2 linked regions of the Pelodiscus sinensis genome follow. The protein of the gene in region 2 purifies or fractionates together with the protein of the main gene of each other region. This does not show direct contact. Links are inferred from orthologs where the notes say so. Each region holds a gene or a part of one and is shown on either strand. Other genes may lie near its edges. The genes, in order: HJV and TMPRSS6.

The links.
Region 1: the proteins of TMPRSS6 (region 2) and HJV purify together in Homo sapiens (co-immunoprecipitation; 3 studies listed by IntAct). This does not show direct contact. The link is inferred for Pelodiscus sinensis from reciprocal best matches to the Homo sapiens genes TMPRSS6 and HJV.

What each region holds. Positions count from the first base shown.
Region 1 is NC_134734.1:20,002,062-20,009,488, reverse strand, and holds the start of HJV (hemojuvelin), read left to right. Parts: upstream 1-4,371; 5' UTR 4,372-4,434; intron 4,435-7,376; 5' UTR 7,377-7,426; coding exon 7,427-7,427. UniProt on the Homo sapiens protein: Acts as a bone morphogenetic protein (BMP) coreceptor. Through enhancement of BMP signaling regulates hepcidin (HAMP) expression and regulates iron homeostasis.
Region 2 is NC_134711.1:92,947,857-92,955,788, reverse strand, and holds the start of TMPRSS6 (transmembrane protease serine 6), read right to left. Parts: upstream 3,266-7,932; 5' UTR 3,241-3,265; intron 3,236-3,240; exon of another isoform or gene 2,957-3,235; intron 1,733-2,956; coding exon 1,576-1,732; intron 1,427-1,575; coding exon 1,284-1,426; intron 1,088-1,283; coding exon 1,020-1,087; intron 1-1,019. UniProt on the Homo sapiens protein: Membrane-bound serine protease. Through the cleavage of cell surface hemojuvelin (HJV), a regulator of the expression of the iron absorption-regulating hormone hepicidin/HAMP, plays a role in iron homeostasis.

The sequences.
Region 1 (7,427 bases), on a different chromosome or scaffold from region 2:
TTGAACCGGTGTCTCTGACCACTTTCTATGTAAATAGATTGGCAGTCGCAAATTTCCTAGTGGATTTAATAGAATCTCTAGCTTTCCTCCCTTACGGGAAAATAATGGTGAAACACCTTAGTTAATGATACTGTGTTTCATCCACGCGTGGATTTTTTTCCATCCATGTGTGGAATAAAATTTTTATGGACACAGAGGCATGTGTGAATGTGCACCACCAACAGATACAAAAAAACCTAGCTGTGGGCACTCTGTTAATCAGTTGAGCAGCATTTGAATCTCTCCTGAGCACATGCATAAGGGGTCACTGTTGTATTGCCCATTAATGACCAGTCTTGCTCTGGTTCATTAAGGGACTCTCACAGGCAATATGCAAAATGTGTAAAACCTCCATGCAAAACTTAACATGGCTCAGCATCTGCAAAACTTCCTGGCTTACCCCGGGAAGGTCCACTCACCACTTAGTTAATATGACAGTAGCCTCTAGAGCAGTGTTTCCCAAACGGTGCTCCGTAGAACCCCAGGGTTCCGCGAAGTGAAAGTAACGGTTCCGCAAGAACCTGATCACCTCCCCCCCTTAAAGAGACAGAGGCGTCAGCATCTTCTCTGATTTCCCACTGGCACCTTCCCTCCCCCGCTGCCACTCTGCGTTTCCAAAGCCCACTCAGGACATGCAGGATGGCATTTTGCGCCCCCCCCCCCCCTCAGTGGCAGGTATTTTTTATTTGCTCGACACATTTTCCTGGTGGTGATTGATTTTTATTTTATTTTTTTATTTTTTGCTTGACAAATTTTCCCTGGCTGTAGGGGTTCCTCGAAATTCTTCTGAGTTTAAAAGGGTTCCGTGGTCAAATAAAATTGAGAAACACTGCCCTAGAGGCTGCTGCCTGAAATCACGACCCCATCTTGCCAGGTGCTGAGCACACATGCCAAAGGAGAAAGCCCCTGTTCGGAAGAATTTGTGGCCTAAGGCCAAGACAGACAAAGGGTGGGATAGAAGGGAAGGGTTTTCCCATCCTCACAGAGCTAGGAATAGACCCCAGTTCTACTTGGTTCTTGTTGAGTGTTCTATCCACTGGGTAACACTGCCTCTTTCTGGTTAGCACTGGGCGGAAATGGGATTGTAAGAGAAATCCTGCTAGCTTGAAATTTCTTCCCTTCTGAAACAGTCTGAAAACACTGATTTAAAACAAAAAAATGTCCTGGAAAAAACAAATTCCAAAATAGTGGCAAGTCAGGAACATTCAAATGTTCCCTGCCGATTGTCAACCTTTGAAAAGCCTGTTTCACGTATATACGAAAAGTCTCATTCGTTCCGTTTGAAATGGAAACATCAAAATATTCCCTTCTGAAAACATCGAAGTCAGAAATGTTGACAGTATCAAAACGCCTTGTTTCATTTTTTTTGAAAGGGGGATTTCAATCTTCCCCCCCCCCCCCCTACATGGGATTTGGTATAAATCCATAGAAAGTTGTGGGGATCTCAGTGAAAATGGAAACTTGTCATCCATTTTTTGAGGGGGGAAAAAAAAGTCAATCAGCTCTACTAGTAGCTTCCAAACTTACCAATCCAAAATAAGTGTCTTTCACCAACCTTCCCATATACTAGTCAGTCCCTCAACATACACCCTGGGGCCTAGTAGACAGACACTGGACTGGAATGCAACAGACCTGGATTCTCTTCCACAGGCCTCTTGGGTGACCTTTGGCAAGTCACTTTGCTGCTCCGTGCCTCAGTTTCCCCACCAGTAAGATGGGAGTAGTGATATTGACCCTGTTTTGTAAAAAGCTTTGAGCCCCATGGCTGAAAAGTCATTTAGAAGAGCTGTTGTTGTTGCATTGTGTTGTACTCCAAAGGCCAACACAGCTGGAGCAAGGTGGGGAGGCTGAGGAATCTCCATGAATCGAGGTTTTGCACAACCGGTTGAACAAATCTAGCGATGATCTAGGTTTACTTGGAGGCTGGACTTAATGACTTCTCACTAGCCCTGCCAGCCCTACGTTTCTGTGATGGAGTAAGTGCGCCCCGGCTCCTTTGGCTCTTCGCTGGGGAGGTGCGGCAGGTTCGTGGCATTGCCCGGGGTGGGAGGAATGAGGATTGTTAACACTCGCCACGGACAGCTCGTGTGCTCACGTGGAAATTTGCACCCGTGGAAATTTGCAGACGTGGCCTGCTCAACCGCTCAGTGTCACTGAGGGATGTAAAATCCTGCTTCATCAGTGAACTTACGTTAAACGTTATGTGTAACGAGTTACCTGCTTAAACAGGGATGAGAAGGGGGGGACCTGGCCAGAGTGGCCCCCCCCATGGGCAGGGGTTGCTCTGGACGGGCTATAGTACCCCTGCCCATGGTGCACTGCTCCGACCGGGCCGGGCCTGGGAAGGGTGATGCCGACCGTTTAACCATTCACATCCTGAGTGTGCAGATCTGGACAGTGCCGAGCTCACTGCCTGTCTCCCACCGGGAGCGAGTGACTATTTCTGGGGCTCCTCTCCGCACCATGTGCCTGTGCCTCTTGGCTGGGTCATCGTCGGGCTAAATTTAGTCCCATCTATTTCAACGCCTGTCCCCTGCGCTGCGTGCCTTCAACAGGAGGGGGACGTTGCTGCGTGACAGTGGTAACGAGGGGGTGGGGAGGCCCCCAGATTTCTGGCCCCAGGCATGGAGTCCCTGGGTGCAGCCTGGCTCCTCTTGCTGCCGGAGACGGAGCCTTCTCCTGGCACGTACCCTCCAAGGAGCAGGTGTAGGGGCCTGGGAACGAGCGCCGCAGCCCCAGGTGGATGGCACAGGCTGCCTGGCTGGAATCTCCCTGCTGCTGCCCTGCTTCAAGGTTTGCTGGTAAGAACGCCGGGCTGGTCGTCGAAAAGCAGGTGCCAGCAACCCGCCCGCAGGGCGCCTCTGTGGCTGTCCCCCCTCAGCCCTTTGCTGAGGAAGCCCCGGGGGCTGGGTAAACCCCCTCCGCTGGCGGGAAGCGGACCCGGAGATTGTGGGACTTGTCCGCAGGAAGCTGCCAGCGCCCGAGTGAGGAGGGGATATCCCTGGGGCTTTCTCCAAAGGGTGGAGAGCGGGAAGGGCCGTGAGGTCTGTTGGTCTCCCGGAGCCTGTGCGCTGACCATGGGCGGTGGGTGAAGGTAGCCCCCGGCCCCTTCTGCCCAGGCCTTGCCCTCGTGGGAGCCAAACCACCAGATTGTGGGGAGGGCGGGTGGCCTGAGCCTCCCCAGCCCGGGAGCACAGGGAGGGCGGGCGCTGAGGGGCAGCAACCCTCCGCCCCCAGTGTGCCTGCAGTAGACGGTCTGGGGGCAGAGTCTGGGCGGGGCCAGACTGGCGGTTTGGGAAGGCAACGCCTCCCCCTGCCTATGAGACCCGCTTCCCCTCAGGGATGTCAGCCTGGCCGGGGGAGGCCGGGATGGGGTCTGCTGGGTGGGCAGGCCTGGCAGGCCGAGGGGAGGAAAGGGCGTGTGCAGCGAATGGTGATGCACAGGCCGCGGATGGGGAGGGAGCGTGTGGGAACACCTGTGCCCCGGCGGGAAAGGCAGGGGCACGTGCTGAGTTGGGGACAGTCGCAGAGGTGCCGTGGCTGTGGGCGGGGAGAGGCGGGGATCTGTGGCCAGTGCGGGGGTGAGGCAGTGGATGGAGGCGGGTCGGTGCGAAGGGGATGGGGAGGGCCCGCGTTGCGGAGGAGGTGCGAGGGGAACGCAGGCGCACGGGCATGGTTAGAGCTCTAGGGATGTAAAATCCTGGTTAGTCCATTAACCGGTTAAGCAGGATCCTGGGGGGGGGGGGGGGGAAGCTTCTTGTCCTGGCCCCCCATGGTTGGAGCTGCTCTTGATGGTCTCCCCACGCTTATGGCTTCCAGCTGCCACCCCTGCACGTGGGGGGCCAGAAGCAGGAGCCGGCAGCCCCAGCTCTGGGAGTGGGGGGGGGGGCGGCTTCTGCTCCCAGCCCCCCTGGAGCAGCCCTCCACCCACAGTGGGTCCTGGACAAGGGGGGCTGCTCCCAGGTACCGGTTAACCAGTAGCCAGTAGGTGTCACCCATTAAGGGTGATTCTCCCTGGGCAACCCGTTAACCGGTTACCCGTTCGCAGCCCTGCCCTGCACCCGACGATCTTCTGGCCTTCGGCTCTAGGACTCCTACGCTCTCCGCCCGGCCAGGCGGGACGACGGCAAAACCCGGGCCCCATCACGGGGCCGTTTGGCTCCTTTTTGGTGGCGAGCGATGGGTTGATCATTAGCTCCTGCCGCGAGCTCAGATGCTCCCGTGTTGTTTACCGGCTTAGTCAAACACCCCAAAGTTCAAGCGCGGTTGCAACAGGCAGAGCTGGAGAAAGCGCCTGCAAGAGGCGGGCGGCTTCTGGGGCACGTGGCGCGAGGGAGTCAGAGGAGAACAAGCCGGCGGCTCGTTCAGACCCAGCACTTGCCCTGAGGGACAGAGGTACAAAGGGAGTCTCTTGCGGCACAGGGCCGGCGGGGGGGGTGGGGGGGGCGGAAGAGGGGCTGTGTCTCAGCCGCAGTCCAAGGGCCTCCTGACTGAACCGAGTCTGATTTTTGTAGGGGCGCTAGGTGAGCCCCTCCCCCCATCTTGCAAACCTGGGCGACAGGGCCGTCTTTACCCATACGCAGCTGCGTAGGGCACCTGAAAATTTGAGGCACCGCTGGGTCTTAATGTCCACCCTCTCGCTTCTTCCTGTCCCTGTGGTTCTGCTTCCTCCGGAGAGGATCCAGTTCGCTGGAAAGTAACAAAGCCAGGTAGAGCTACTCGCAGAGCCTGGGAAAGAGCCAGTCAGCATCAACGACACCGTTTCCCACGCATCTGCCAACCCCAGGTCTAGCCTGTCCGTTGCCGAACTGACTATGCGGGTCGACAGGCCCCGAGTTAAGAATTTGCTTTAAACCTCTTTCCTTGGCGTGTGGCTGAAGATGATCAAATCCCAACTGTTGTGGCTGCTGTTGGGCCTCGGGGCACCAGCTTCGCAGTCCGGCGTAGGCCCCATGCACCCTACGGCCGGGGAAGTGACGGTCTTGTAGGCAAGTCAACCCAGTGATTGCTCAGAGATCACCAGGCCTGGGGGCGGGTCAGGGATCTTCCCCCTCCCATTTCCACAGCTAAGCGGAGGCATGATCCTTCCACCCGATCAGCGCTGGGCGAGCCAGGCTAGCGAGTGGGCCACCCGTGCGGCCTCCATCACAGGGGCTGCAGGATTGTCGCCACCAACACGGTCTCCCAGGCCAGGGCGGTTTTGCTCCCTGCGCGTGCAGAGTTTGCAGGGGGCGCCGATGGAACCGTCGCCACACTGTGATTGGTTACAGAGGGAGCACACAGTCGGTGCTGGGCGCGATCCGCCCGCCTCTCCCTGCACGTGCCCTGGCTTTGCGTGTGTGTCCCCTTAGTAACGGCGGTAGGAAAAAGCTACGCGGGCAGAAACCCGTGGAATCTGGCAGCCCTGCGCGTTAGCTACAGTAAACGAAACGTCTTACAGGCCAGACCTAGAACCCCGATGGGCTGCCTGTGGCCTGCAGGCTGCCCAGTGCAGCACAAGATTCTGCTAGAAGGCTTTCCTTAGAGCTGTGACAGGTACTGGCTGGAGCAAGTAAAGAAAAGTTATTTATTAGTTCCCAGAATAGAAGAACTAGAGGACACCAAATGAAATTAATGGGTAGCAGGTTTTAAACTAATAAAAGAAAGTTCTTCTTCACACAGCGCATAGTCAACCTGTGGAACTCCTTGCCTGAGGAGGCTGTGAAGGCTAGGACTATAACAGAGTTTATAGAGAAGCCAGATAATTTCATGGAGGTTAGGTCCATACAAGGCTATTAGCCAGGGGATAGAAATGGTGCCCCGGCCTCTGTTTGTCAGAGGCCGGAGAGGGATGGCAGGAGACAAATCGCTTGATCATTGTCTTCGGTCAATCCTCTCTGGGGCATCTGGTGCTGGCCACTGTCGGCAGACAGGCTACTGGGCTAGATGGACCTTTGGTCTGACCCAGTACGGCCGTTCTTATGTTTGTACTGGAAGGCACTTGACTGCCGCCTCTCCCACCTGCTACCTTCCTGCTCGGGATCCAAGTCCGTCGGCAGCATGGTCGTCAGGACAGGCAGGGAAGGTGTCCCTACCTCTGTTTGCCAGAAGCTTTGTAACAGGTGACAGGGGAGGGATCATTCGATGATTCCCTGTTTTGTTCATTCCCCCGGGGCGCCTGGCATTGGCCACTGTCGGCAGACAGGAGGCTGGGCTAAATCAGGGCCAGCCCACAACATTTTGGCATGTGAGGCGGGGAGCTCAAATGACGCCCCCATGCCCCTTCACTTGGGCCAAAACTTTGAAAGGTCTCACTTCTGCCTTCTTCCTGTTCTTCTGCTCTCACGGGACTGCTCTGCTACGTACCCCAACAAAGGAGAACTAACAGCAGCGGGCACAATTTTCTACACTCTGGGTCCTATGGCGTTCCCCCCCCAGTCTGGCACCTGAGGCAGCTGCCTCAGTTCCCCTCATGGCAAGGCCAGCTCTGGGCTAGATGGACCTTTGGTCTGGCCCAGCCTGGTGGCTCTTATGATCAGCGTAGGTAGATTTCACCACATGGTTTCTGGAGGAAACTGCTGCTGTGCTTGCATGCGGCGCGTGGTCTGTGGCCCTCCAGGAGCAAATTGGGAGCGGCTAGCAAGCCATGCCAGGACTCAGGAGAGCCGGAGTCTGTATTCCTGACTCCGCAAGTGGCTGGTTGCTTTCTCTTTCTCTGCCAGAGTACATCTAAAGCATGTGGCTCTGTCGACGGAGCCATGTAGATTTGTTTGTTCGGCAAAGGGAAATGAAGCCGCAATTTAAATAATCGCGGCTTCATTTAAATTTAAATGGCTGCTGCGCTGAGCCAACAAACAGCTGATCGTCGGCTCAGCGCGCTAGTCTGGACACTTCCCTGCCGACATGAAAGCCCTTTATCGACCTCCCCAGTAAACCTCATCCTATGAGGCATAACGGGGAGGTCGATGAAGGGCTTTCAGGTCGGCGTGGGAGCATCCAGACTAGTGCGCTGAGCTGACAAACAGCTGATCAGCAGTTTGTCGGCTCAGCGTGGCAGCCATTTAAATTTAAATGAAGCCGTGATTATTTAAATCGCGGCTTCATTTCCCTTTGCCGATCAGCCTAATCTACATGGCTCCGTCAACGGAGCCATGTAGTTTAGATGTACCCTGGCCGAGAAAGAGAAAGCAACCAGCCACTTGCGGATTTAAATGAAGCCACGATTATTTAAATCGCGGCTTCATTTCCCTTTGCCGATCAGCCTAATCTACATGGCTCCATCGATGGAGCCATGTAGTTTAGACACACCCCCAGTGTCCCACCATTTGTAAAGCAGATAACCCTGCCTATCTCTGTAGAAAGCGCTTGGGGGATCGCTGGATGTCAGCCACCGTCTACACTCAAAGTGA
Region 2 (7,932 bases):
GCTGTTCTTCAGGTGGAAATTACCTGTGGTCACTGCTGACCCAGATTGAAAATGTTGACCTTTCAGCAGCAGTGAAAGTAACTTAAAATTTCTTACAGGTACGGTCCTATTGCAACCTGCATCCCTGCCAGCTCTTTAAATAGCTCTCTGCTGGCTTTTGCTGCAGCTCAGCCAGCTCTTGCCGGAGCTGCTCACCAGGGCGCGCCTGCTTGCTTTTATCTCTGTCTTTAAGGCTCCATGTTCCAACTTCCAGTAATGAAAAGTGATTAATGCTAGACTCTGTTCAGTTGATCAGAGGGAGCTTCTGTGTAGAGACCACTTATGTATGACAGGCAATCACAGCCACCATAATTTGTCAGCTGAAGGACAGAGAAAATGGACCAACCTGGAGAGCAACTTCTTGCTGGAAATAGGGGGCTTGTTGAAAAAGAAATTTTCTGTGAGCAAAGATCAGTGCTGATGTAATTTACCATTGGGGAAAATAAAAATAGAATACTGGGAGGAGGTTGACCTTAATCTCTGCATCTGCCTGAGCCACTTTGGAGCTCTGTGGCAGTTGTAGTTCCAGATCCTTTCTACTTCCGTTCTCCTTTATGGGCCTTGTCCCTTGCAGGACTACATTTCCCAGGGTGTACCATGGTCTGTCTCTGTGCTGTTTCATTTTATGTGGATAGTACAAGACAAAACATTTCAATTCAAGAATGCTAGAACATTGTTTCAGTAGAACATGTCCAAAAGTAAACCCTTTAATAATACCTATTTCATTTTTTTCTGGACTTTTCCATATTTCAGTTTGGGCTGAAAATAAATGTTGAATTCTCAGGATTTCCTGTGGGATGGAAATTCCATTTTTGATCAGCTCTCATCCAAAGCCCCCTTGGAGTAAGAATGGAGGTTGCAGCAGCTCTTGTCAGCAAGACAGCTGGCTGCTGAGCAAGATCACAACCTAGGTGTAACTTTCACATAGGAGAGGGAAGACAGAGTCCTGAAAAGCAAATTAATGTGGACATAACACTTACCCAAAGGCATAAACTGTGCTGGAATTGTAATATGGATCCAAGTCCGTGACACGAATGAGTTCTCTTAGCTGTAACAAGAATGCTATCTGATAACTACCCAGCAACAATACAACAGCAGACTTCCCTTGGGACCCGCCCAGTGCTCCATCCCTCTCTGCTTGAAGTATAATCCACCTCAGATTCCATTTGCAGAAGCACCCAGGACCCATTCCCCCACGCACAGAACTGCCTCAGTCCTGACCCCACATAAGAAACCATCCTCACCATCTTCTGTAGCTTTGCTGACTCAGTCCAGAAGGCTCTGGATTCTGGCCGTCCAAGATCCAGGGAGTACTGATAATTGAGGATCCGGAGGCTGCCTGAGTAGAACTGCAGAACAGTTGATTCCAAGTGCCGTGGTCTGTAGTCTGACAACAAAAGACAGACAGATTAACCACGGGCGTGGAGAACAGAGGGCTCTTTGGGGGAAGGAACTTAGCTAGCATCTACATTGGCTTCCTCGTTACTAGGCCAGGTCAGCATTAGCATAAAGAACAAAACGCCTTATAATTGTTACCTAGGAAATACCAACTCAGTGCTCCAGCTCCAGCCAACAAAACAAGGACCATCCAGAGGGGTGCATAGCGCAGGCAGTCACGAGCCTTCCTCTTGGTTTCATCCTCAGATGGGGTGTTTGCATCTTCCTGTTGCTCCTCAGCCTCCATCATGGGCATCTAGTCCAGCAGCAGACCAGGCATCAGGCTGGATTCTCAGTACATCCCTCACTCCCTTCCTGTGTACCCTTTGCCATCCATATCTTCTTATCTGTACCTCTCCTTATTATCCATGCCAGATCCCAAGGACCTTGCTATTGCTTTCACACACAAAACTCTGTTGAAATCCCATGGGAGTTTATTCAGTTATTTACTTAGGCAGAAGCAGAGTGAAACCTTTAGGATCATGCCCTAACCACCCTCCTGTTAGCTCTCTGCCTCTACTGTCTGTACATCCTAACTTTTCAGTGTGTTCCCCAGCATGCCCATGTTTCCTCCCCAAAGGTCACTGAATGCAATCAGCAATGCAGACCACTGAGCTCCAAGAATATGCAGGGTAACAGCTGTCAAATGCTGCATACCCCACTGTACATAAGAACATAAGAATGGCCGTACTGGGTCAGACCAAAGGTCCATCTAGCCCAGTAGCCTGTCTGCTGACAGTGGCCAACACCAGGTGGTCTGTAAGGTATCTTGTGTCTACCCTACCTCACCCTACTTCCCTCTGGCGTATATTAGCACCCCGCAAGGTAATTCAGTTCTCTACCTGCCACATGGCCATCTTTACTGCTCCTCTCACAACACCTGATTGTCCGACTTATTCCTGCCTACTCCCTTTCTATGATTCTCTGCTAAGTACCACAGCCTGCCAAGACTGGATGCTCCTGGGCCGCTTTCCCTCTGCAGCCCCTTATTAGGCCCTGTTAAAATCCTATCACCCATAACCTTTCAACATTCTAGCAGAGGCCAAAGGATTTGCATATTTCCTTCACTGATGAGTGAGGTATGAGCATGCATGAATGTGAATGTGTGGGAGTGTGCAGGGGGGTTAGAGAGCGCCTGAGTGTGTATGAGCGTGTTCCAAAGCGTATATCCAGGGTGCTCTGTCTGCGCATGCATTGGTTAGTGAGTTATGTGCATCGCATGGGCCTGTGCCGGTCTGTGCTATGGTGCAGGGATGAGGGGTGCATGTTAGAGGAGGTCCCTAGGGGGCTGAAGCATGTGTGTGAACAACAAAGGGCAGCCAGCATTCCCTACTCACTCCGATACCAACCCCTCCCAATCCACAACTTTGCCCCTCAATACAGACACATGTAAAGAGTGTTTAAGAAGAAAAAGCAATTCAATGGAAAACATTTAACTTAACAAGAGCTGGCACAGAGACAACAATGAATCCATGAACACCTCCACTTCCTGTCTCCTACAGGCCTCTCACATGCGGCAGAGATCCGAATACACCAACCCTTGCTCTTCTGCTTCGCTGTGGTCTCCTTTTGGCTAATGTTTTCCAGTGGGTATCCCCCACCCAGGAGGGGGGCAGGAGGAAGGAGTGAGGGCCTTTACTCCACCTTCAAAGGAGTCCTCCAAAACAACAGCCGCACCAAGAACCACAAACTGATCAAAAAGAGCCTCAATTTGCTAGCAGATCAATTCTAGGCACTGGGGTTTCCCCAGAGCTACAGACCTACCTTTGAAACCTGCAGCTGTGCATGTGGCTGGGCACGCACACATTGGTAGAGACGTGTTTACTCAAGCCCAAGGCCTCTCTGGCAATCAATAAGCTGAGGCCATGTCCCTTTGTTTTGGTCTTTGCCCTGTCCGGCCCTACAGAGGGCTGAGCATGCCCCGGAGAGCCACAGCTTTCTCTAATGGAGGCTGACTCTGAGTGAAGGGAGGTTTGCTAACAGACTGGATCTAAAGGCAGTGAAGAGATGATGCTGTAAACAGCCCAGGGTAACAATCCTCCTGCCCCTTGGGAAGCCTAACGTGGAAGGCAAGTGCAGCTGGATCACAGATTCCCCTGGGAGGCAACAAGTTGCACAGCAACTGCTTTCTGTCTTAGTTACCTCCATTGGTCCCAGTGGCAATAAAGGCAAAATGGCACCGGCTGTTCTGAGGAGATAGAGATGTAGCCGTGTTAGTCTGGTGTAGCTGAAGCAAAATACAGGACGATGTAGCACTTTAAAGACTAACAAGATGGTTTATTAGGTGAGGAGCTTTCGTGGGCCAGACCCACTTCCTCAGATCAAATAGTGAAAGAAAATAGTCACAACCATATATACCAAAGGATACAATTAAAAAAAATGAACACATATGAAAAGGACAAATCACATTTCAGAACAGAAGGATGATGGGGAGGGGAGGTAAATGTCTGTGAGCTAATGATATTAGCGGTGATAATTGGGGAAGCTATCTTTGTAAAGGGTAAGATAATTAATGTCTTTGTTTAGACCGAGGTGTAAAGTGTCGAATTTAAGCATGAATGACAGTTCAGAGGATTCTCTTTCAAGTCTGGTGTTAAAAGGTCTTTGAAGCAGGATGCAGGTAATCAAATCGTTGAGACAATCCCTTTCTGGTTGAAATGGCAAGAAACTGTTTTTTCTTTGTGATCCTGTCTAATATCTGTTTTGTGGGCATTGATCCTTTGGCGAAGTGTCTGAGACGTTTGTCCAATGTACATAGCAGACGGACACTTTTGACACATGATAGCATAAATTATATTTCTGGATGAGCAGGAATATGTGTTCTTGATCTTATAACTCACTTGGTTAGGTCCAATAATGGTATCAGCAGAGTGAATGTGTGGACAAAGCTGGCAACGGGGTTTGTTGCAAGGGAAGGTTCCAGGGTTGGTATTAGTGTGGTATGTCCTGTGGTTGTTGGTAAGAATCATTTTGAGCTTAGGTGGCTGTCTATAGGGGTATGTCTACACTACCCCGCTAGTTCAAACTAATGTAGGTAATGTAGTCATCCGCAGTTGCAAATGAAGCCCGGGATTTGAATTTCCCGGGCTTCATTTGCATGAAGCCGGCCGGCGCCATTTTTAAATGCCGGCTAGTTTGAACCCCGTGCCGCGCGGCTAGACGCGGCACGGACTAGCTAGTTCGGTAGTGTAGACATACCCTAGGAGACTATGGGTCTGTCTCCCAGAGCCTCTCGGAGTATAGTATCCTGTTCCAGTATAGGTTGTAGTTTATTGATAATGTGTTGGACAGGTTTAAGTTGGGGGCTGTAGGTGATGACAAGTGGTGTTCTATTGTTGGTTTTCTTGGGTCTGTCTTGAAGTAGATGGTTTCTAGGTATTCGTCTGGGTCTTTCGATTTGTTTTTTATTACTCCGGATGGGTAGTTTAGGTTTATAAATGCTTGGGTAGAGATCCTGAAGTTTCTGGTCTGTCAGTGGGATTAGAGCAGATGCAGTTGTATCGAAGGGCTTGGCTATTTACCTCCCTCCCCCTCCTCCTTCTGTTCTGAAATTTGATGTGTCCTTTTCATATGTGTTCATTTTTTTATTGTATCCTTTGGTATATATGGTTGTGCCAATTTTCTTCCACTATTTGATCTGAGGAAGGTGGGTCTGGCCCACGAAAGCTCATCACCTAATAAAACATCTTGTTAGTCTTTAAAGTGCTACATAGTCCTGTTTTTTGTTCTGAGGTGGTGAGGGAGAGGAGTCTCTTGCTGGGGCAGTGGGCTGGACAAAGGAGAGACAAAAAACAAAGTCTCAGAGAGGCAGCCGTGTTAGTCTGTAGCTGCAAAAACAACCAGGAGTCCTGTGGCACTCAAGGCTATGTCTACACCTCATGCTTATTTAGAAATAACTCACATTATTTCAAAATAACAGAGTGCACATCTACACCGCAAGCCCTTTATTTCAAAATAATTTCAAAATAACGGGCTTCTTACTCCGACTTTTGTAACCCTCATTTCACAAGGAGTAAAGGAAGTCGAAGGAAGAGTATTCTTCCTCCAACCTCCTGCTGTGTAGACAACAGCAAAAGCTGAGTTAAGATATTTTGACTTCAGCTACACAATTAACATAGCTGATGTTGCATATCTTAACTCTAGCCCACAGTGCAGATGTACCCTTGGAGACTAACATATTTATTAGGGCATACACTTTCATGAGTAAAAGGCTATTTCATCAGATGAATTGGAGTGGAAATGATGACAGAGGAGGTAATTTTGTTGAAAGTACCACAAAAGAAAGGAATTACTTATCAAGTGATAAGGAGGCTAATCAAATCAGGGTGGAGGTGTCTCTTTCACTGATAGGGAGATGTGAATATCAAGAGTGGGGAAGTGGCCTTTGTAATGTGTTAACCAATTGAGATCTTTATTCAGGCCTAACTGGATTGTATTGAATTTGCAAATGAATTGCAGCTCAGCTGTTTCCCTTTGTAATATAATTTAGTTTTGAAGTGTTTTTGTAGAAGGATGCTACTTTTAAACCCAATACTGAATGTCCGGGGAGATTAAAATGTTCCTTACAGATTTATGTAGGTGGCAGGGGCTAGCACTATCCAAACCATTAGCACTGGTAATAACTACGCAAAGCTTTGTCAGTGTCTCTCACATGACTTGACCCCCAGTGTCTTTAACTATTGTGGAAGAAAACATTGTCCTCACTCTGAGTTTGTAAGCAACAAGTAGCCAGAGGCAGTTTTATTACGAGCTGCAGCAAGGGAAAAACTGGTTCGGACAGGGGGGCAGTCCCCCCCCTCACCGAGGCAGATCTTCGAATACAAGCAATTATGAAGCAGTTTATATACTGTCTATTAAATATAATAACAATAGTAATTAGTCTCCTTCCCATTACAAACACTAATGGCTAACAGTTATTTAGTTCCACCCAGATGCTCCTTATCTCAAGGTCCCTACCAGAGTCAGCATTCTATCCTTATCTCCGTATGGAGGCGAGAGGCGAAGGCAGCGTCTAATTACAGATCTCGCGTTGTTAGGCCACAGACTTAGCCTGACTCTTGCTCTCTTGTTAACAAGACCAAGATGGCTGCACACAAATTCCCTTATTCCCTTTTCCTGCCTCCACAATCCCCCCTTTTGTGCTTACAGCACAACTACCTTTCTAAACCTTTATTTTCATTAAACATTACATAATTAGTACAAACATTAAAGCTATTTCTATTACTACATCTTTTACAACAACAATCAAATATGAAACTTTTAATAAGCAAAAGCAATATAATCATTAATATCCCCAATATAATTCTATGATGGGGCTGTTCTATAATTTTAGTAACATCATACAACATATCATAATTAGTAACCAAATTAGGGAGGGCAGGTACATGCTGATGGTACCTGTCCATAAGCACAGAGTCCAGATCAAAGGGAGAAACCCAAACCACTCCTACAAGTTTCTCCTTGGCAATATACAATACTTCGCTTCTTTCACCAAGGTCAGTTCTTAATGTCCTTTTGTAGTCAGAAATCTTTGGCCTTTGGCGGTGTCAGAGGAGCAGACTTTTCCTCTTTTTTTTCTTGAAACAGTCGTGGTTCAGCATCATGCAGGGGAGGGGTTACCAGCACATCACCCTGGGTGTGTCTAGACTACATGCCTCCTTCGACGGAGGCATGTAGATTAGCCAGATCGGAAGAGGGAAATGAAGCCGCGATTAAAATAATCGCGGCTTCATTTAAATTTAAATGGCTGCCCCGCTCTGCCGATCAGCTGTTTGTCGGCAGATCGGGGCAGTCTGGACGCGATGCGCCGACAAAGAAGCCTTTCTTCATCGGCACAGGTAAACCTGGTTTCACGAGGCTTACCTGTGCCGATGAAGAAAGGCTTCTTTGTCGGCGCATCGCGTCCAGACTGCCCCGATCTGCCGACAAACAGCTGATCGGCAGATCGGGGCAGCCATTTAAATTTAAATGAAGCCGCGATTATTTTAATCGCGGCTTCATTTCCCTCTTCCGATCTGGCTAATCTACATGCCTCCGTCGAAGGAGGCATGTAGTCTAGACACACCCCCTGTAATATTTTGGTGGTTCTGGTGTCCAGCAGGTAGGAAAGCAGGACCAGAAGAGAGAGGCTTATCAGCAATCGGGGTAGGATCATTTCGAGATGGAGGGATCTTTTTGCAGTGAGAAGCATTGGCCAACAGTCAGTTCTTGGCACTTCACAGAGGTGTTGGTGGTTAGCAAAACTTGGTAAAGGTCTTTCTAGAGCAGTCTTTCGCTGATGGACATACGAGTCTCTATTCTCTGAGCTAAAAGCCAGCTAGCTCCTTTGGAACCAAGGTTATTTCCTAGGAATAAAGCAAACCGTAAAAACGATCCAGTGTGGTTGTTTGGTTGTTTGGTACCAGCCTTATCAAAGTGAGGCCCTTTTGGAATGTGGTTGCCAGGGGAACCAGGGTC